Cricetulus griseus: one gene and its partners. The protein of the gene in region 1 interacts with the protein of each later gene in a biochemical or structural test. Links are inferred from orthologs where the notes say so. Each region holds a gene or a part of one and is shown in the gene's direction. Other genes may lie near its edges.

Region 1 (6,681 bases):
GTGATGTGGGGCTGCTGTGGAACCCTAACTTCTCAGGCTGTTCCCTGGGTGTAGGAGAGCGGCTTCTGCGGTTACTGATGGGTTTGTAAAGGATGGACATAGACTCAGGGTCAGAGTCCCCCTCCCTCCCTCCCTCCCTCTCCTCCCTCCTCTCTCCCTCCCTCTCCTCTCTCTCCTCCTCCCTCTCTCCTCCCTCCCTCCCTCCTCCTCTCTCCCTCTCCTCCTCCTCCCTCCCTCCCTCCCTCTGTCCCTCCCTCCCTCCCTCCCCTAGTAACACACCTCCTCCCACAGGGCCCAATCCTCCTAACCCTTTGTAACAGTCCCACTCCCGAGTAGTGACTCAGTATTCAGTCATGTGACCCTATGGAGCCATTCTTATTCAAACCATTACAGCACTCTCTACAAACCAAACACACAGTGCCTGAGTGGGTACAGGGAGCCAGCCTCTGGGTATATAGGGTACGGGGCACACAGGGCCACAGAGGCCAGAGGGGCCTGCTCCTGTTTCATGAAGTTCAGAGGGCAGGTGCACCCTTCCTGAAGGCCTGTTCCATCCTGCATCTCCCCACAAGCCCTTCTGAGCAAAGCCAGGAACCAGATGAGGAACCTGACTTCCGAGTGATAGGTGGAGCTTGGAGCCAGAGAAAATAGTTTGCAGAACCCAAACCCTCACACAGCAACCCCCTGTCTTTCCCAGAAACTGAGAGCATGCACATCCTGGACCTCTCCGGAGACCTCCCAGATGCGCTGGGCCAGATCTTTGACAGCCAGCAGGGCTGTGACCTGTTCATTCAGGTGACAGGGCAAGGGCACAGGGATCTGACCCTCTGTGCCCACAAGCTGATCCTGAACACCAACTCGGAGGCCCAGGCCCTGTGGCACGCAGAGGGCAGCAGCGTCATCATGAGAGTGGACGTGGACTGCATGCCCGTGGTCAGAGACTTCCTCAGGTAGGGAGAGGCTGGGCTGCACGCTCCTCTGCCCCGCTTTCCCGCTAGGGCATCCCTGCGCTGCGGTGGGGTGGCAGAGTGGCAGATCTGCCCCTCATACTCAAGCATGGGCTGGTGCAACACACATATCACACATGGGTGCATGCTTCTTCACACTGCACACATCTGCCCTGGCAGACAGACGGTGACAAACTCTCCCACCTACCTCAGTGTCACGTGGAGACACACCGCAACACTTGCTGCATGTGCTAATGTGTTAATGTGAGCACACATTAACACCCAGATGCTCCCTGCTCTTACATGGAAGCATTGAACACTCATACATGTGAATACTCACCACCTTTGGGCACACACACACACACACACACACACACTTATGTATCCAGATGCTCCCTGCACCTGTATAAACACGTTCTCATGCATCCAAACCTTACTTTTACATGTGCCTGTTTGTCTACTTATCTTAATCACTGTTCTATTCCTGTAAAGAGACACTATGACCAAGGCTGGTTTTCAAAAAAAAAAAAAAAAAGCATTTAATTGGGGCTTGCTTGCAGCTTCAGAGGTTTAGTTCATCGTCACCTTGGTGGTGGCAGTGGACCTTGGTAGAGCCGTAGCTGAGAGCTTTACCACCTGATCCACAGGCAGAGAGAGACTGGGCCTGTCATGGGCTTTTGAAAGGTCAGAGCCCACCCCCAGTGACACATCTCCAACAAGGTCACACCTCCTAATCCTTCTAATCTTTTCAAACAGTCCCATTGCCTGGTGACTAAGCAATCACATATGTCTGAATGGGGACTATTCAGACCACCAGAGCACTCCTACCATAAAGCACCCCATACACACTGAACTGGTGTGCCCACGTGCACTCCCACCCACATTAAGTGCACACAGATACATGCATTTTCACTATACGACTCTAAATACTCCAAATCCTGTAAGAAGGGTTTGGTATTCTGAGGTTGTGACTTCAGCATGGAGTACTGGCCTGCAGTTTGCCACCTGGGAGCCACCTGGGAGGGCGCATGGAAATAGAGTCCAGGTGGGAACTGGCAGCATGGAATCCTACAGCAAGGCTGGAATGAAGTCCCAGGCTTCCCCTCCCACTCCCTGGGGCCCTTAGAAAGGCATGGACAGTATAGGTAAGATGCACGCATGATCCTCCCCTCTCTATGTCATGTGTCTTAGGTACGATAGAGATACAATGTGAGGTTCCTGTGTGCTTGTTTGTGTGGTCCCCACAGGGTGTATGCAGAGGTCAGAGGACAGCTTTCAGGAGTAGCTTCTCCTGTGGGTTCTGGAGACCAACTCAGGTCATCAGATGTGGTAGCAATTGACTGGCTGCTGAGCCATCTTGCCAACTTCAGCGTAAGAGCCCTCCCTTCCCACATTATCGGTCTTGCTAAGAGAACAGCAGGGAGCCATGACTTTAAAACTGTCTGTGAGGGAAGAGGGAACGCTTGCCCCTCTGAGGAGCCTCTCAGACTACCCCATACTTACAGATGAGAGTAGAGACAGTTAGTGGGGTCCACATCCCTCCCCAGACTCTGCCACGACCCTTCCCTCCATACCTCTCTGCTTAATTGTCAAGATTACACAGGTTCCCCACCCAGGAGGACTCTGAGGTTTGCATTTTGAAAGCAGTGGTTCTTTAAAATAGAACATTTATTAAAAAGTACCCTCTCTCACCCTTATGACACGATTCTTTATATAATGGAATCTGACATTTATAAGAATAATACTGGCAATTAAACCCAGATTAGAACCATTTGCTCCCAGCCTAGTGTGCAAACCTGGCAGGGTTCCTGTGTCCTCCTGGTGAATTCTATGTCTAAGACACAGTGGAGGGTGGAGCAGATGTCATCCCTGCCTTCCTGAACCCCCTGCCCCACCCCCAGCTGTGGCCTCAGGTCTGGGCTCCTGTTATCTCTCTCTTTCTCCCTCTCCCTCCCTCTCTCTTCCTCTTTCATCCCCCCTTTCCCTCTGAGGATGGACACACACACACACACACACACACACACACACACACACACACACACACACACACACACACACACACACGGGTTCAGCCACAGGAGACACAACAGTCCCCTAGACTCCTCCCGCTGTCCCTCGAGCCTAAAAGCTGGCTTTGGGCTTTTCCCCTCTCTCTCTCTGCATATGTGATTTTTACTTGAAAAGGATGGGCAGGGTGGGGAGGCCCACTCTGATTTCTGGAAACTAAGACTGGGCCCTGAGTAAGGGAGCATGGGAGGGGCATGAGGGCAGAGAGGCACTCACAAGAACCCTGGCACTTCCCAGCCTCCCTTGGCACTTAGAGATAGCTGCTAGCAGTCTGAGGGACCACTCTGGTGTGGGATGAGGATTAGAAATTGGTGCCAATCCTTCAAGAGCAGGGAGAGGTTGGTGGTAGCATCCTACTGTCCCGTGCCCTCCCTATGAGGTGATTTTATGCATGGTCTACCACGAGTTGTGTGCACCAGCCCTGAGGAGAGAGTTGCCATCCCAACCTCTGGGGTGCTGTGAAGCCAATGGCAGGAACCCTCAACTCTATTTGAACATTTATGGACCAACAGGGAGGGTGTCACTCTGGACTTGGTGGGCTCAGACCCTCACATGGCTCATAGTCCCAGGGAAGCAGAAATCGGGTGACCAAATCATCGGGTGTCATTATCACCTGACAGAGAGCAGATGCTTGGGGAGAAAGAGGTACCCACAGGAACCCAGCAGGGTCCCATGTCTAGACCTCTGCTGTCCAAGGCTCACAGTGACATCAGAGTGACCAGGAGATGTAGGTGGGAACCCCTCAGGTGAGGGCATTCACAGATGAGGAAGAAAGTGGCTGTGAGTGTCATTGCCAACAACTATCCACCCTGTGGCCCAACACCCAAAAGTTGCTGTCAGTTGGCATGAGAATGGAGGTGAATGCTGCCACTAGTGGCGGCACCCTGGCGTGAGGTCAATGGTGAAGGTGTAGTAGGTAGCTGTGTGGGAAAGCAAGCCAAACAAAAGCCCTGCTGTCTGTCAGGGCAGGCTTCCATTTCCTAACCTCCCTCCCACCCCCAGGTACTTTTACTCCCGAAGAATCGAGGTCACCATGTCTTCTGTTAAGTGCTTGCACAAGCTAGCCTCTGCCTACGGGGCCACACAGCTTCGAGACTATTGCAGCCGGCTGTTCGCCACCCTCCTCCCCGAGGATCCCACTTTCCACACGCCCCTGGAGCTCTATGAGTACGCACAGGCCACCAGGGACTCTGTGCTGGAAGAGCTGTGCGTGCAGTTCCTGGCCTGGAACTTTGAGCCTCTGACACAGGTTGAGGCCTGGCTGAGTGTTCCCACCACCTTGCTCCAGGCTCTCCTCTCCAAGAGTGAGCTGGCTGTGTCTAGTGAGCTGGACTTGCTGAAGGCCGTGGATCAGTGGAGCGCGGAGAGTGGCGCCTCCCATGCTGAGGTGGAGGGCCTGGTGGAACAGGTCCGCTTCCCCATGATGCTGCCCCAGCAGCTGTTTGAGCTGCAGTTCAACCTGTCCTTGTACCAGGGTCACCAGGCACTGTTCCAAAGGAAGACCATGGAGGCCCTGGAGTTCCACACTGTGCCTTTCCCAGTACTGGCCAAGTACAGAGGCCTGAACCTCACGGAGAACACCTACAAGCCCCGGCTTTACACCTCCTCAACCTGGAGCACCTTGGTGACAGACCGTTCCTCAAGGTCACAGGGTGCGCAAGTGTATGGGTACTATTCATATGGCTATGATTCAGTAAGTCGGTACTCCCCCTACCGGTCCTTCCAGACCCCACAACACCCCAGCTTTCTCTTCACGGACAAGCTAATCTCCTGGTCGGCCACCTACCTCCCCACCGTCCAGAGCTGCTGGAACTATGGCTTCTCCTGCACCTCTGACGAGCTCCCAGTTCTGGGCCTCACCAAGTCCAGCTACTCCGAGCCTATGATTGGCTATGAAAACAAAGCACTGATGCTCTGTGGAGGTCACAGTGTGGTGGATGTCACCAACTTTGCCGGCTCTAAGGCTCCTGTCCCCAGTGCCCTGGATACCAATAGTTCCAAGATTTCTTCCCTCTTTCCCTGCACCTCGGGGGCCTTCAGCGGCTTCCGTGTGGTCATCCGCCCCTTCTACCTGACTAACTCCACTGACCTGGACTAGATGGTCCCTCTCAGTGGTGGGAACTCAGACACCCACGTGTCCCCTTCTGTGTAGCCACTCCCAGCAGCCTGCCACCAGATTCCCTCTAGCCTCCACTGTCTTTATGAGCCTTAAATTTTACTAGGTTTCAGCCAGCATTCACTCCAGTGCTGAGAGTCCCCGGGGCTCCATTGCAGGCACAAGCAGGTTCTGTGAGGTCCAGTGGGTAGCTCAGTCTGCTAATCTGAAATCATTAAAGTCACACATGCTTCTCACCATGCTGACTCATTCATGCAGGAGGTGTTGCTGGCTTCCTCCAGTGTTTGAAGGGCAGGTGTGCTGGCTTCTGGGGGACAGGGAATGAGATTGTAAACCCTTGGGGGAGGTGGACAATAACGCCCCAACAGCCCAGCCCTGGCCCTCGGCCTCCTCAGAGGACAGAGTGGGATGCAGCCGCGGGTATCAAGCTGGTGAGCACAGGGCTGAGCTGACTGAGTATAGGGGCGTCCTTGAGAAGAGACTGCGCGCTGGGACTCAGAGACTAAAGAACAACAGCAGGAGACGGAGGAGGGTACCTGCAGGGAGGAGGAAGCAGCATGGGGAGCAGCAGTTCCTCCAGAAAGCTTTGAGCCTGTGCCAGGCCCGAGAGACAGCCGCACCCCAGCATCTGTAAGGATGGAAAAGTGGGGAGACTCTGCATGCATCACTAGGTGCTCAGTCAGTCAGAACAGAAGATGGAGCACCAGAGGTCAGGGGTCAGGCAGAAGAGGGGCGCTGGGTGAGCTGTGGGGCCCCCGATTGTCTTCGATGCTTTGGGAGGAGACATCCTGTGAGAGGGTCACCTTTGGGTCCTGGGTAACGGATGCCTCCCCAGCTCCTTTATGACAAGTGTGTGTGTGTGTGTGTGTGTGTGTGTGCCTGTGCGTGCGTGCCCGTGGACACACACACACACACACACACACACACACACACACACACGTGCACATGCGTATGCCCTCTTGTGAAGGCAGAGGTTACCCCCAGGTCTCATTTCTCAAGATCAAGAGGTCACTCATCTTGGTCAACTTTCCACAACCTAGAAACATGAGGAGAGAGTCTCAGGGTGGATTACCTGCATCGTGTTGGCTTGTGTGCACATCTGTGAGTCAATTACTGTGGGAAGACACAGCCCACTGTGGGCTGCACCATTCCCTAGGGAAAGGGGTCCTTACCGGTACATAGGAGAGTCTCAGGGTGGATTGCCTGCATCGTGTTGGCTTGTGTGCACATCTGTGAGTCAACCACTGTGGGCTGCACCATTCCCTAGGGAAAGGGGTCCTTACCGGTACATAGGTGAAGAAAATGAGCTGAGAATGAGCAGTGAGCGTGTGCGTTCCTCCTGGGTGTCCTCTTGATGAAGAACTGTAGTGTGGAACCGTGGACCAAAACGAGCCCTTTCTCCTGAGTTGTCTTCCTGTCACAGACACAGAAATGGAGCTAACACAACTTGTACAGAGCTTGCCTGGCCCTCCCTCAGTGTTGTCTGACTTACCGTGAGCCCCATCTCTCCTGTCTTCATCAGAGCTTCATGGTGTCAACACTTTTTTAGCT
Region 2 (6,781 bases), on another chromosome or scaffold:
GAGCAGGACTTCACACACTGCTGCAAATGGAGAGACTGAACAAGCAGGCAGGGCTAGAAGCAGAAACTGAGTATCCAGGCCCCAGTCAGAAGAGACCCTCATACCCTGTTCCTCCATGGCCAGCCTGTGCAGACAGCACCTACAGAGAAGGGCCCTCCCCACTCAGACATTCCCTCATGCATGTCTTCCTTTCAGGTCATGACCTGGCAGGGATAGCTCCTGGAGTCCTGAGATCCCAGAACCTGGGATGGCCTGGCAATTGCCTGCCGAATCTCTGGACATCTACCTGGAATTCTGCCTAATGTGTCCCATTCCTAATGTGTCAGAGGAGCACACCTAGGGAAGAGCGGAGGACCAGGGCGGGGCCCTGACAGTCCTTCCCTGTGACTGAAGTCTGAGGAGGCCCCACAGGAAAGATGGAAGCTTCTGTGGTTAGTTTCCCTGGTAGCTGCCTGAGGGTGGGGCTGGGACCTGATGAGGCAGCCCAGACTCACTGAGATTTGACAGCATCTCCCCTATGTCCTACAGGCTTCCCTATCCTCCTGACCTGGGTTGGCTTCCTCCTCTGTTAGAAGGAGCTGGAGAGGAGCCTGGGAGGGCAAGGCAGATTGCTGGCCTGGCCTCAGATGTGACTCCTAATTCCACATCTGCATCTTTCTTCCAAGTTGGCAGTTTCAGAAGGGTAATGGCAACATAGACTCCCTGTACTCCCCATGCTCTCCTCACCCGGTTCCCCAGTGTGAACTGAGAACCCCTCTAACTAACCAGAGATTTTAGGGTATTAGAGGGAGCTCTGGTAGCCAACAGGCAGGGCTTGGCCTCTACATCCTTAAAGAGATAAGTAGTTGGTAGAATGCTTGCTTAGCACGTACAAAGGCCTGGGTTCAATCCCCAACAAGACGTAGACCAGGCATGATGTCACTGTTTTATAATCCCAGCACTTAAGAGGCAGGAGTAGGAGGATCAGAGGCTTAAGATCCTCTTTGGCATAGAAAGTTCGAGGCCAGGCTGGGAAGGGGAACAGATAAAGGGATCCAGTAACCCCAAGTCTGTTTTTAGGGTGCTGATATGTGTGTGTGTGTGTGTGTGTGTGTGTGTGTGTGTGTGTGTGTAAGATTTATTTATTACATATATAGCCTTTTGCTTGCATGTATTCCTGCACAACAGAAGAGGGCACCAGATCTCATTATAGATGGTTTGTAAACCACCATGTGGTTACTGGGAATCTCTGTAAGAGCAGACAGTGCTCTTAACCTCTGAGCCATCTTTCCAGCCCCATGTGTTGTTTTTTTTAAGGGGGCAGTTGTTGCTATATCAGCCATTAATGTTTTATTTATTTATTGTTTTTGTTGGGGTATTTTGAGGGTTTTTTTTCTGTTGTTTTGGGGGGCTGGGGTTTTTTTGTCTATTTTGTTCTGTTTTTTCGAGACAGGGTTTCTCTGTATTGTTTTGGAGCCTGTCCTGGAACTCACTCTGTAGACCAGGCTGGTCTGGAATTCACAGAGATCTGCCTGCCTCTGCCTCCCAAGTGCTGGTATGGTATCAAAAGGGTGCACCACCAATACCTGGCTTGGGTTGGGGGTTTTTGTTGTTGTTGTTTTGGTTATTTGAGACAGGGCTTCTCTGTATAACAGCCCTAGCTGTCCTAGAACTAGCTCTGTGACCAGGCTGGCTTGGAACTCACAGAGATCCACCTGCCTCTGCCTGCTGAGTACAATATTAAAGGTGTGTGCCACCACTGCCTACCTAGCTATTAATTTTCTTCTTTCTTTTTCTTTTCTTTTCTTTCTTTCTTTATTTTTGAGCCAGGGTCTCATGTAGCTGATGGTGGCCTTGAATTCCTAACCCTCCTGCCTCAGCCTCCCAAGTGCTGGTATTACAGGCATGAGCCACGAAGCACTTTAAGCTTCAATATGGGAAGAACTGGGGCAGATAGCAAGAGGTATGCATACTTGAGCAGACTGGCCTTGCAAGACGGGTTCAAAGAAGTTCCATTGCTTAGGGGACAGGCAGTTGCTCAGGAGAGGGCCAGTCCTGCTCCTGCATGTGCAGACGCTTGACCTCCTGTGGGGGAGGGGCTGTCCTGTATGGCTTTGCTTTTTCTAGAATCCAAGACGACTGCAGATTTGGGTCAGTGACTTGTCTCCGTGCCTTTGGCTTAGAAGGAGGATGAGGTAGGTCAGGAAGGTTGAGTCAAGCAGGAGTCTGAGCCAAAGTATGGAGATGGATCCAAGAAAATGCAGAGAGAGGGCAGACTCATCCTGTCAGTAGTCTTCTGGACCCAAAGGAGGGGTCCAGGCTTTTGGGCAGGAGCAGCTTCAGAAGTGCCTTGTTTTACCACTTAACCCTCCACTCTGCTCAGTGAGCCTCCCTAAGTCGCATTTCACCCCATAATTATCTGTAGCTCCCTAGGACCCTCAGGCGAAACAACAATGAAACCCTTTGTCTGGTCCGAAAGGCCCTTCATGATCCCTGACTCCTATCTCTCTCCTACACACTCATCAGCTTGTTCCCCAGGCTTGGGCTTCTCATCACAAAGCCTTTGCCCAGTCAGAATGCCCGGTCATTCAACACCCTGCTTTACATCCCACAGTCTCCATCCCACCACAGTGGTATCTATGTCTTTGCCTTCCCCATAACCAACACAACCTTATTTAATCAGACTCATGGTCAGATCCTAGCCAAACCGTGGATTCTGAGAGTAGGGACTGGGAGGGGCTCAACTTTGAGTCCTCCAAGGCCAGCCCAGGGCTAGACACATAGTAGGTGCTCAGGAAAGTATCTGCTAAATGGATGGCCATGTCTGGTCTCCAAAAGTGAGAATGAGACCAAGGGTGCAGAGCTGACACACCTTAGGCTACCTCTCAGGCCCAGGGATGTCAGAGCCAGGGCACCCAGAAGTCTCTGCAGGCTCTGCAGTGGGGTGAAGTCCAAGGTATGAGCCAAGGACACCAGCGTCAGGCCTGGCGCCCAGCCCAGTCTTTCTTTAGCCCTAGTGAGCAGCACTGAGCTGCAGCCACAGTACGCTGCTTCCGGGGAAAGCCCGGGTGGGGCCTGGGCTTTGTGGTCCTTCTCAGCCCTCCACAGAGGCCCACATCCAGAGCCACAGCCGGAGCCACACCCCGGTCTGCCAGGCTGCAGCCTCTTTTAGCCCTGCTCTAATTTTCCTCAGTCTCTACACACATACCCCCACCAGCTGCACTGAGCCCCAGGGGCTCTCTGCCTGCTGGCCCCAGGCCCCTTCCCGCCAACTCTTGAGCCTAACTCATCCTCAAACTATTTTCCACTGGCTCCCCCAATCTCTGCCACCACACAAATCTTTTTTTAGTGGGAGGAGAGAGATGGGGAAGAATAAGGGGCGGCGCTTGGACCCTGAGGGAGGGACTAAGGAGGGGCACTCTTCTCTCTGACTGGTCACCTCTGCTCTAAAACTGGATTTATAATCCATTGACTCCGCCTCTAGTGCCCCCCCACCCCGTTCCTGACATCAATTGGCCTAGCCTACCGGAGGGGCGGGACTCACCGGGTCTGGGTCCTGTTAAAAGGGTCGGAGAGGGCTTGGGGTCCCGTCACTCGGGTGGAGTCTTCAGACAAGTGGTGCAGCCGCCTTCACTTCGCTTCAGTCATGGCCTGTGTGAGTGCGAGACCCTCTACTGCAAGGTCTAGGGGATTAAACAGCAGCAGATGGGCATAGAAAAGTGGCCAGTTTGGGACCTGGTTCCAGCTGTGCGGCCTTAGACAGGTGTTTTCTCTGATCCTCAGTATCCACGTCTGTAAAATGGGGGTGGGTGGCATAGTCCCCAAAAGTCTTCAGCCTCTCTGTGTTAAGAGTATCCTGGATTCCTCTGAGCTCCGACAGTATGCTTACATCTTAGAAGGTCCAATATTGGGGCACTTCGCAGTTTTCTGAGAAGTAAGAGTGGGAAGGGTGTGGCCACCTGGGGAGGGGGAAAGGGGAGGCAGGGGGACAATTTGGGCAAGGCCATTCACTGCTTCCCTCTCCTCTACTCTAGAGGCTCCTGACCCCTCCCCCCCTGCAGCTGTCCCCAGTCACAGAGCCAGGGCCCAGTAGATCACCCTCTGCTCCAGAAAAACTTAAAAACCTCCGGGGCCCAGGAGAAGCTGCCGTCCAGGCCAGGCTGGGGCTGTTCGTGGCTGCCGGCCAGCCGGGGGCCTAGAGAACTGCGTGCATTTGCACAAATAGACATACAGGCTGTGTATTTGTCAGGGTTCAAATGTCAAAGAAGCTCCTCACACAAATTAACTCCTGTCTGCCCACCAGGCAGGTGCCCAGCAATACCCAGCTATCTGCTGGGTTCTCCTCTAGTTTGCTAAATCCATGATGCTGCTCTCTAGCTGCACTCTTCTGCGGGGGAGGGAGGAGGGGGGCTGCCCCTCAGCTTCTCCACTCCAATGCCTGTAGACAGAGCCTTGAGGGGAACTGGAGAGGTCGGGGCTGCTTTTTCACTCCCGGAGGCGCTAAATGAGAACTTCGGTCACGCTCCATCTTCCCCTCCACTCTAAGTTAAAAAAAAAAAAAAAAAAAAAAAAAATCTCCAAGCTGACTGAGTGAATCTTCTAGGCTCTGTCTCTGTCCATAAGTTTCAAATTAGCATACCGTGCTGGGACAATCAAGACTAGAACTTACACCTTGTCCTACCCACCCACCCTACCTCTGGGCTTCCCCTAGGGCTGCTCCGGATACCCAGGGTGTCTCTGATCCCATGCACACACCCCAGGCCTCTGCAGGTAGCTCAGGCCATGTTTGAACTCGGCCCTAAATGCAGCTAGGTGGTCTTTTCTACACAGGGTCTGGTCGCAAGCAACCTGAATCTCAAACCTGGGGAGTGTCTCAAAGTTCGGGGCGAGGTGGCCCCTGACGCCAAGAGGTGAGAATGGAGCCAGCGATGGTGGTGGCAGGGGCGGTGTTAGCAGGCCTTGGGTCCCGAAGCTGGGGATGGGCGTGGCTGGGCCAGGGCTCCTCTCCCCAGCCCGCAGGGGGTTAATAGTCAGCTGCAGAAGCTCCGTTTTCTGGGTGAGTCACTTCCTAGCTGGGTCTGGTCGACCTCACCGTGGTCTCCCTTCCCCTCCCGCCCCCTCTCTCCCGGATGGAGGTTCTTAAACTAAACCAGCTGCTGCCTCAACAGCTACCTCGGCTTACCCCCTCCCCTTCTGCCTGGGATGTGTAATGTGGCAATGAGGGAGGGATCACCCACGTGCCTGCTGCCTGGGGGTGGGGTGGGGTGGGGTGTGCCGGCTCAGTCTTTTCTTTCAGTGCTTCCCTCTCATTCACAGTCCCATCGCCTATTTTCTAGGCAACCATGTGACCTTAGACCAGTCACCCAAGCTCAGGAAGCCTCGTTTTTTTTTTTTGTTTTTTGTTTTGTTTTGTTTTTTTCCTTGTGGGGAGACAGGGTCTCACTATGTAGCCCTGGCTAGCATGGAACTTACTATATGTCTACCAGACTAGCCTCCACGGAGACCCACATGTCTTTGCCTCCCCAGTGCTGAGATTGAAAGTCTGCACCTCCACACCCGGAAGAGTCTGGGTTTCCTAATAAAGCCAGAGGGAAAGTTGTGGTGTGGAGAATGCCAGGGGCCAGATTTATCAAGGCAGCTAGCTGGCTGATGGTAGTGAGTGCCTGGGCCTGCTCCTCTTTTTTCCTACCAGACCATGGTGGCAAGTACTGCTACCAGGTCCCATGTAACAGATCAAATCCCATACTACTATTTGCACTTTTACTCCACAATGATGGGACATTTGCACAGTGTTCTGCTCTGTACTAGGCACCAAGGACTCAGATACACAAGACAGACAGGAGGACATCGGAGAGTCTCCCCCTTGACCAAAGAGCTGACACCAATTAATGTCTGGGAGAGAGATCCCTTCAGCGCAGGCCCCCTCCCCCCATTGTACAGACAGGAAAGAAACTGGCTCAGAGAGAAATGGTAGGGTCGAGATCAACTCACATATTGAGGCCAGAATTAGAACCCAGGTTCCTGGCCTTCCTGTTGGCTGAGTTTCAACAAGGTACATTACAGGCCAGCTGCTGATGCTGCCTTTTCTCAGTGAGCTTTGGGTCTAGAGCCAGCCAACATGGTCTTAAGCCTACCTGTCACTCCCTAGCTTTGTGCTGAACCTGGGGAAAGACAGCAACAACCTGTGCCTGCACTTCAACCCCCGTTTCAACGCCCATGGGGACGCCAACACTATCGTGTGCAACAGCAAGGATAACGGAGCCTGGGGGACTGAGCACCGGGAGCCTGCCTTCCCCTTCCAGCCTGGAAGCACTGTGGAGGTGGGCAGGATGGGGGCTGGGCAGGGCCTGGGGTGGGCTGGACAACAATGGCTTTAGTGCTCAGAGACAGGCTGACCTTCCCTGGCTGTGTGATTACCAGTGACTGTCACCGGCTCTGAACCTATGTAGAGACTCACCTATATGGGAGCTGTCATCCAGGCTCTGAGCTGCTTTAGGGTGTCACTCACTGCCCTTCTCCACCCCCCAGGTATGCATCACCTTTGACCAGGCTGACCTGACCATCAAGCTGCCAGATGGGCATGAGTTCAAGTTCCCTAACCGTCTCAACATGGAGGCCATCAACTACATGGCGGCAGACGGCGACTTCAAGATCAAGTGTGTGGCCTTTGAGTGAAGTCAACAAGCCCCTAGGCCTCAATAAAGGCAGCTGCCTCTGTTCCCCACAGCCTAAACCCTCATGTGAGAGTGTATATGTGTGTCTGTGTCTGTGTCTGTGTCTGTGTGAGGGGTCCTGCCTCGGC
Region 3 (6,781 bases), on another chromosome or scaffold:
GTTTTATTTGACATGAAATGGGCAGAGAAGTGTTCTCTAGAATGGGGCAGTGAAAAAGAAGTCTGAGCTTATGGTTCAGTTTAGCATAGTGAGCCATCTAAGTATCAAAGATTTAAGCTTTATCTACCCCCTGAAAAAAAAGATAAAAGATTACCAGAGGTCAAGAGTGTGACTCATCTCTTATCTCCATAGCAACCTGTTTGACTGTCCACTTCGGGCTAGCCCTCAGAGAGAGTGTCCCGGTGACTCAACATCTTAAGGCTTGAAGTGTTTTCTTAAGGGACAAAAGACAGCCCTGTGGCCCATCCTGTTCAATCCTCACATGCTAATCATCTCCAGATGACTCATTCAAACACTTGGTTGCCAAGATACCTGTACAGAGGAGAGTTCACGGTGTCAGAATTCATCTGTAGCCACACAGTGACTTCCATGTGTAAGCTTGGAGGGGGCAGCAATGCTTTGACAGTGGCAGGCCCTATAGACCTTGTAGATCTAGCCTAGAGAACAGTAGGCTTCCTCAGTGCCGCCAATGAGTGTGTGCACATTTCCCAGGCCATTTATTAATACACTAATATTATTTTAGAGACTTTAGAGATTTAGGAATTCTGGGGTCAGGTGACATCTGGACTGCTTCATGGTTTACGTAAGGCAGTATCTACAATGATTGTTTGGGATTTTTGTTTTTGAGACAGGGTCTTACTATGTGTCCCTGCTGGCCTCAATTCCTATACAGACTAGGCTGGCCATAGACTGAAAGGGATCTGCCTGTCTCTGCATCCCAAGTGCTGGGATTAAAGGTGGGAGCTACCACACCTACCTACATTTCTTTTCTTTATTCTTTGTGTGTGTGTGTGTGTGTGTGTGTGTGTGTGTGTGTGTGTGTTTGAGACAGGGTTTCTCTGTGGCTTTGAAGCCCGGCCTGGAACTCCTCTGTAGACCAGGCTGGTCTTGAACTCACAGAGATCTGCCTGCCTCTGCCTCCCCAGTGCTGGGATTAAAGGTGTGCGCCAAAGCCCAGCAGTGATTTCTATTTTTAATGCTTACATTCATTTATTTCTAAAATATTATTTACCTATTTTAATATTTTAAAATACATTTCTTTTTGCATGTATGCATGTGAGCATGTGGGGGGGGTGGTTGGAGGACAACATTCAAGAGTTGGTTCTCTCCTTTCCTCGTGAGTTACAGGGATCAAACTTAGACTGTTGGGCTTTGTAGCAAGCTCCCTTACCTGATCACCTACAGTGATTCTCTTCACCAGGGGTTTGTTGTTGTTTTACAGTCAATATAAAAGTTAGTACTTCTGGATTCTGCTCTTCCAGTGGAAGGACCTTGGAGAATCAAATTGCTTGCCCAGTGTCTGAGCGCATTTCGTCTTCTATACAAAAAGAATCAGTGACCAGGTGGCTTGTAAACAGCAGGTGCTTACCTTTTATCATTCTGGAGGCTGGGTCCCAGCACCAAGGCAGCCTCTGTGTTTGCTTTAGAGGGTGACTTTCCACTGTGTTCTCACAAGATGAACAATGGTTCATTCCTCTTGGACCTCACTGGACAGTGGAGGAGCAGAGCTGCCCCTCCAGACGGTTGCAGCACAGGACCAGAGCTTCCTGTCTGACTCAGGTTCTTCAGGGGCCACCTCCCTTAGAGCTGTCTGACAGCTAGCTGACTTTGGGGTTTTAGTTAGAGCAGGAAGACATGTAGTGCCAGAGGGACAATTTCTCAAACTCTTGGACTCTAACATACTTTCACCTTTATCATGATTATGTTTAATTCTTTATACCTACATTTTCTCATGTCTAGAATGGCATTTGTAAGCAAGGGCACAGAAAAACTACCAAACTGGACTGACTGCTCCATGGGTAGAAAGGAAGGTTTATTGGGGCTCAAACTGCCAAGGTAACACTCCATCCCAGGTGGGGGGAGAAATGCTAATGGATTTTATATGACAGTCAGCAGAACTGGGGAGGGGGGCTTTGAACTGATACATCCTGTTGGAATTGACCAGGAACTAGATGCCTTTGTCCTAGGTAGTTGACATTTAGGGGCAGATTAAGAGAGATTCCTGGTCAACAGAAACTACCTTTAAGTTTCTGGTTACCCAGCCAGAGTCCTTCTGTTTAGTAAATTGTCACCAGCCATTGTGTGTGTGTGTGTGTGTGTGTGTGTGTGTGTGTGTGTGTGTGTGTGTGTGTGTTTGTGTGTGGTGCTTTAGAACTAACAGGATTAAAACAATACCAACTCCATAAATGCATGTAAAGTCTTAGACACAGTACAGGGTGCATACTCGTTTGGTGGATATTACCTGATGTTATCATCTGAAGCCGGAAAAGAAAAACCATCTTGAATATCCTTAACCACTAATCACTCAGCTTTTATCTAAATAAATGTCTCCAAACTAGTTATCAGCCTTCTTGCAAAGGTGGCTGTTCCTTGTAACAACTTCTCATACAGACAGAGCTTCGCCCTGTTCTTTTGACTTCACTATCCCTTGCCACGCAGTACTCTCCTCTAATCATTAAGCAAACATCTTTCTAGGAAGCAGTTTACTCACTCACTTATTCATTCATCCACTCTCATTCATTCATTCTTTAATCAATAAATTCCCACTGAGGAAAAACCTACTATTCTGAGTAGATCAAAACACCAAAACTTGGGGTATACAGACACAGCAAAATTCAGCAGGAATGAATGCAAACGGGGTTGCCTTTTACAGCTCGGTCACGTCAGGGATACCTGCTCCTACCTCTCCTCACCCGCATAAGTCACTTCCCACTTTTTGGGAAGGCTTTGGGTGAAGGAAATGGAGGCAGGATGAGACCGTGAGAGGCAACTTCAGACTCGGGAACCGGTGAGTCTGAGAGTGTCTGGGTGCGAGGATCAGGGCCCACTTTCCGGGCACAGGTGAGGGACACAGGTTGGCGGGAGTGTCCCTGTTGCAGCTTGGGGAAGCTCTGGGGTCCGCGGGGCGCGGTCCAGGCAGGCGCCTGCTGGCCTGGAGATGCTGCCCCGCCCCGGGAGGGCGGGCCGGGCTGGGGAGAAGTGTACAAAAAGCGCCCAGCCGCCGCCCAGCAGCTAGCGGAGCAGCGGGCGGAGCACTGACCAAGGTGAGCTGCGCGGAGCAGAGCGAGGGGGACCGGTGCTGCTCTGTGCACCAAGAAAGGGCTTGACTGGCGGGAGGAGACCTTTAGGGTCCCTGGCACGGGTCCACGGCCGTGACTCACCCGCGGGTAACACTCCGAGAAAGTTAGTCGAGACCTATTTACTGAGCATCGTTGGGGCAGCGGGATGCCTGCGGGCCCTGGGCAGGCATCGGAAGCTCTTGGCTCAAGTGAACCCAAGAGCCACCTTGCAGTTGGCTCCAAGCGGTTGCCCCTAGCTTAAAACACAGGAATCAGGTCCCCCTCCCGGTACGCTGGGGGGCTGCTTGGGCACCCTCTTGACAGCTTCTGGGATCCCTGCCTTAGCCAGCAGGCTCCTTTGGTACACCTGCTGAGATTTTCACTAGAGATCTTTGCTGTGTGTTGCCAGTGAGCTCTACCAGCCTTTCACTAGAGATCTTGCCCTGTGGTGCCAGTGAGCTCCACCAGGTCCAGCAGCGACAGGGGTTACAGCCACTCCCTGCGTGCTGACCGCACAGAAGTGTTGCCCAGGCTCTAGTGCGCATGTTCCCAGATGAGGAACGACGGTAATCTCTAAACTTTTGCAAGCCAAGTGACTCATCAGTGCCCAAATGTGATTTGTGCAATAACCTCTAGATCTGGGCTGGGGAAGTCTTGGGTGTGGTGATGTTTTTCCCAGAGTGTAGAGCCTTAGTTGGAGGCTTTTAAAAGTTGGATTTGTTCTGCTGTCTGTTGCTCAAACACGAATGCAGGGAACCAAGATGCATGGATTGAATATTTGGGGAGTTGGGTTTCTAGATAATGAGGACCTCAGGACCTAGTGACCCAGCTTATTTTGAAGAAAACAATTGCAATCACAGTGTTTATATGACTAATTTCTGAAATTCCAAGTTGTTTGCTTCAAGTTTATGTATTTCCATATTTTTATTTATTTGTTTTTTGGGGGAGGGCCAGGCGGGGTCTCACTGCAGCCTAGGCAGGTCTGGAACTCACTATGTAGCCCAGGCTGGCTTTCACTTTTCAATCCTGTCTCAGTATCCCCCAGTGCTAAGATTACAGGTGTGAGCTGCCTCCCCCAACTATTTCCATAAAAATTGAAGTTTCATAACAAAAGCTTGCTTTTCTACCACAATAGTCTTTGGGAGGGGTGATTATGGAATTTGAGATTGGAAGTGTTTTGTTGTTTTTGATTGAGACAAGGTCTTCCTATGTGGTCTAGGGTGGTTTTGAACTTGTGATTTTCCAGGCTAGAACAAACACACTTAGCAATTGTCTCCTTCTTGGTCACTGGTATTTTTTGCTTTGCTTTGCTTTTGTTTCTTGAGATAGGGTCTTACAATATAGCCTTGGCCGGCCTCATACTTATTACATATCCCAGGCTGACCTTGAACTCATGGCACTCCTTCTACCATAGTCTCCTGGGTGCTAGGATTACAGTGTATTGACTATCATGCTAGACTGTGCACATTGATTCTGAATACTTTTCAAATAGGTCCCTTTTCCCTATGGTAGTCATATTTATCCTTGATGGGGGTTAGCTTCCTAAATTCACAATGTTTAAGAGTTTAAAATCTGTACTTATTTCCCATTCTGGGGAAGACTTTCATGGGGGTCTTTCAGGTTTAAGCTTAGAAGTGTTTAAGGGATAGCTCACTAAATTGTAAACAAGGCAGAAGGAATGGAGAACTGCTTGATGCATTGACCAAAAGAATTGATCACGTTTATGTAAAATGACTAACTCTCTTCAGGGCTTCTTAATCAATGATATATTTCACTGGATCAAAAATAAGTACAGTGGCTTTATTGGTTTATTTGTTATTTTTCAAGTTGGGGGTCTCATGCGTAGCACTGGCTGGAACTCGGTACATAGAAACAGATGCTTTCCAAAGAACTGTTCCTTAGGTGGGTGTGGGAGTCAGTGCCTGTAATTCTAACACCCAGGAGGCAGAGCCTCCTGAGAATCTCAAGTTTAAGACCAGCACAGGCTACATGGAGAATTCTAAGCCAACCTGGGCCACAGAGTGAGACCGGTCTCAAAGTAAATATATTAAAAATATAAGCTTTTTACTTCCTGCCAGTAAGCTCAAGTGGCCTAGAATTGGTCTTATTTATGATTTAGGTGCTGTGTGCCTAGCACCCTTGGTAGCCAGAGTCTAAATCTCCATTGCAACAGACACAGCTTGGTGTTAACAAGGGGTCATGCATTCTTCCTTGACTGATACTCGGCTTTTCCAAAGGGGAAAAGTCAGTGACTGAGACAGAAGCACAGAGTAATTTTATCTTCCTTGATGTGAGGAACTGGGAAGAGAGAGAAACCCTAGGAGATGGCCAGTGTCCTTTCACTGATTGCTGCTTTGGAATGTGGACTTCCTCAAGCCCTGCTCTGTGTTTCCATGAAGGCAGGGAATGGAGAGGCAGGAAATGGAGAGGCATTGCCTGGGCTCCTGGGAAGGGAGCGTGGGAGGGCCCAGGATCACCACTTAGTGTTTTACAGTTTTGTTCTTTATGAACACAAATTCCAGAAGAGTTCTTGAGAACCCAGACCACTGGGTGGTTGGCACGTAGGCCCAGCAGAACATGGTGCAGTGGGCCACTCCTATTAAAGGAAAAGCTCTCAATTAACAGCTGGTTACATTGACTCATATTTAAGCTCATCATTCAGAATGACTTTGAACTGTTTCTGCCTGCTGCTTTCAAACGAAATATTTCCAAATACAGAGACTAAGACCCATAACTCTGCTTTAAAAAAAAATACCTTTGATGAATTTTTCTTTCTTTTTTTTTTTTTCTCTGTGGCTCTTCAAAAATTTCCTGGTTCTAGAAGTGATAGAATGGAGTTTATACATTTACATTATCTGTAGGGTGGAAAGAATGTCCTACATTTGAGAGTTTGAAAAGAGCAAGTTATAATCCTTTTCAAAAAAGAGATCTGAATCAGGTGGTGGTGGCATACACATTTAATCCCAGCACTCAGGAGGCAGAGGCAGGCAGATCCCTGAGTTTGAGGCCAGCCTGGTCTACAGAGTGAGTTCTAGGACAGCCAGAGTTACACAGAGAAACCCTGTCTTGAAAATCTAAACCAACCAAACAAACAGATCTGGACCCAGTAAGATAGTTCATGGGTATGACACTTGTCTCCAAGACTGAGTTTAATCACTGGGGCCCACATGGTAGAAGGAGAGAACCAACTCCTAAAATCTGTCCCTTGACCCCTTTATACACACACTCCTACAGACACAAAATAAATAACTATATGTGAAAAAACTACATCTGGGAGCTGGAGAGATGTCTCAATGCAGCATAATCAGAAAATCTGAGTTCAGATCTCCATCACACTCACAAGGCTGGGAATGGCCACAGGATGTCATCCTGAATTATGGGTGTGGAGACAGGTGGATTCTGGCCAGTAGATGCATCTCCGATTCAAATAGAAATGGTCTCAGAAAATAAGGTGAAGAGTGACTGTGGAAGACATCTGGCACTGACCCCTGGCTTCCCCCACACAGGCATGCACACCTTCACACACAGGTGCATAAGCATACATCACACACACACACACACACACACACACACACACACACACACACCTCAGCAAAAAAAAAAAAAAAATCTATGGTTGAGAGGTGACACAAACAAAACAGTAATTCTGGTTTTGGAGAAAT

What was found.
Region 2: the proteins of Lgals3bp (region 1) and Lgals1 form a complex in vitro, tested with the Homo sapiens proteins (2 studies listed by BioGRID). The link is inferred for Cricetulus griseus from reciprocal best matches to the Homo sapiens genes LGALS3BP and LGALS1.
Region 3: the proteins of Lgals3bp (region 1) and Lgals3 form a complex in vitro, tested with the Homo sapiens proteins (4 studies listed by BioGRID). The link is inferred for Cricetulus griseus from reciprocal best matches to the Homo sapiens genes LGALS3BP and LGALS3.

What each region holds. Positions count from the first base shown.
Region 1 is NC_048600.1:130,935,518-130,942,198, reverse strand, and holds the end of Lgals3bp (galectin-3-binding protein), read left to right. Parts: intron 1-697; coding exon 698-950; intron 951-4,016; coding exon 4,017-5,112; 3' UTR 5,113-5,367; downstream 5,368-6,681.
Region 2 is NC_048595.1:376,032,532-376,039,312, forward strand, and holds Lgals1 (galectin-1), read left to right. Parts: upstream 1-3,478; 5' UTR 3,479-3,625; coding exon 3,626-3,634; intron 3,635-4,809; coding exon 4,810-4,889; intron 4,890-6,127; coding exon 6,128-6,299; intron 6,300-6,507; coding exon 6,508-6,654; 3' UTR 6,655-6,718; downstream 6,719-6,781. UniProt on the Homo sapiens protein: Lectin that binds beta-galactoside and a wide array of complex carbohydrates. Plays a role in regulating apoptosis, cell proliferation and cell differentiation. Inhibits CD45 protein phosphatase activity and therefore the dephosphorylation of Lyn kinase.
Region 3 is NW_023276807.1:203,413,615-203,420,395, forward strand, and holds the start of Lgals3 (galectin-3), read left to right. Parts: upstream 1-3,018; 5' UTR 3,019-3,104; intron 3,105-6,781. UniProt on the Homo sapiens protein: Galactose-specific lectin which binds IgE. May mediate with the alpha-3, beta-1 integrin the stimulation by CSPG4 of endothelial cells migration.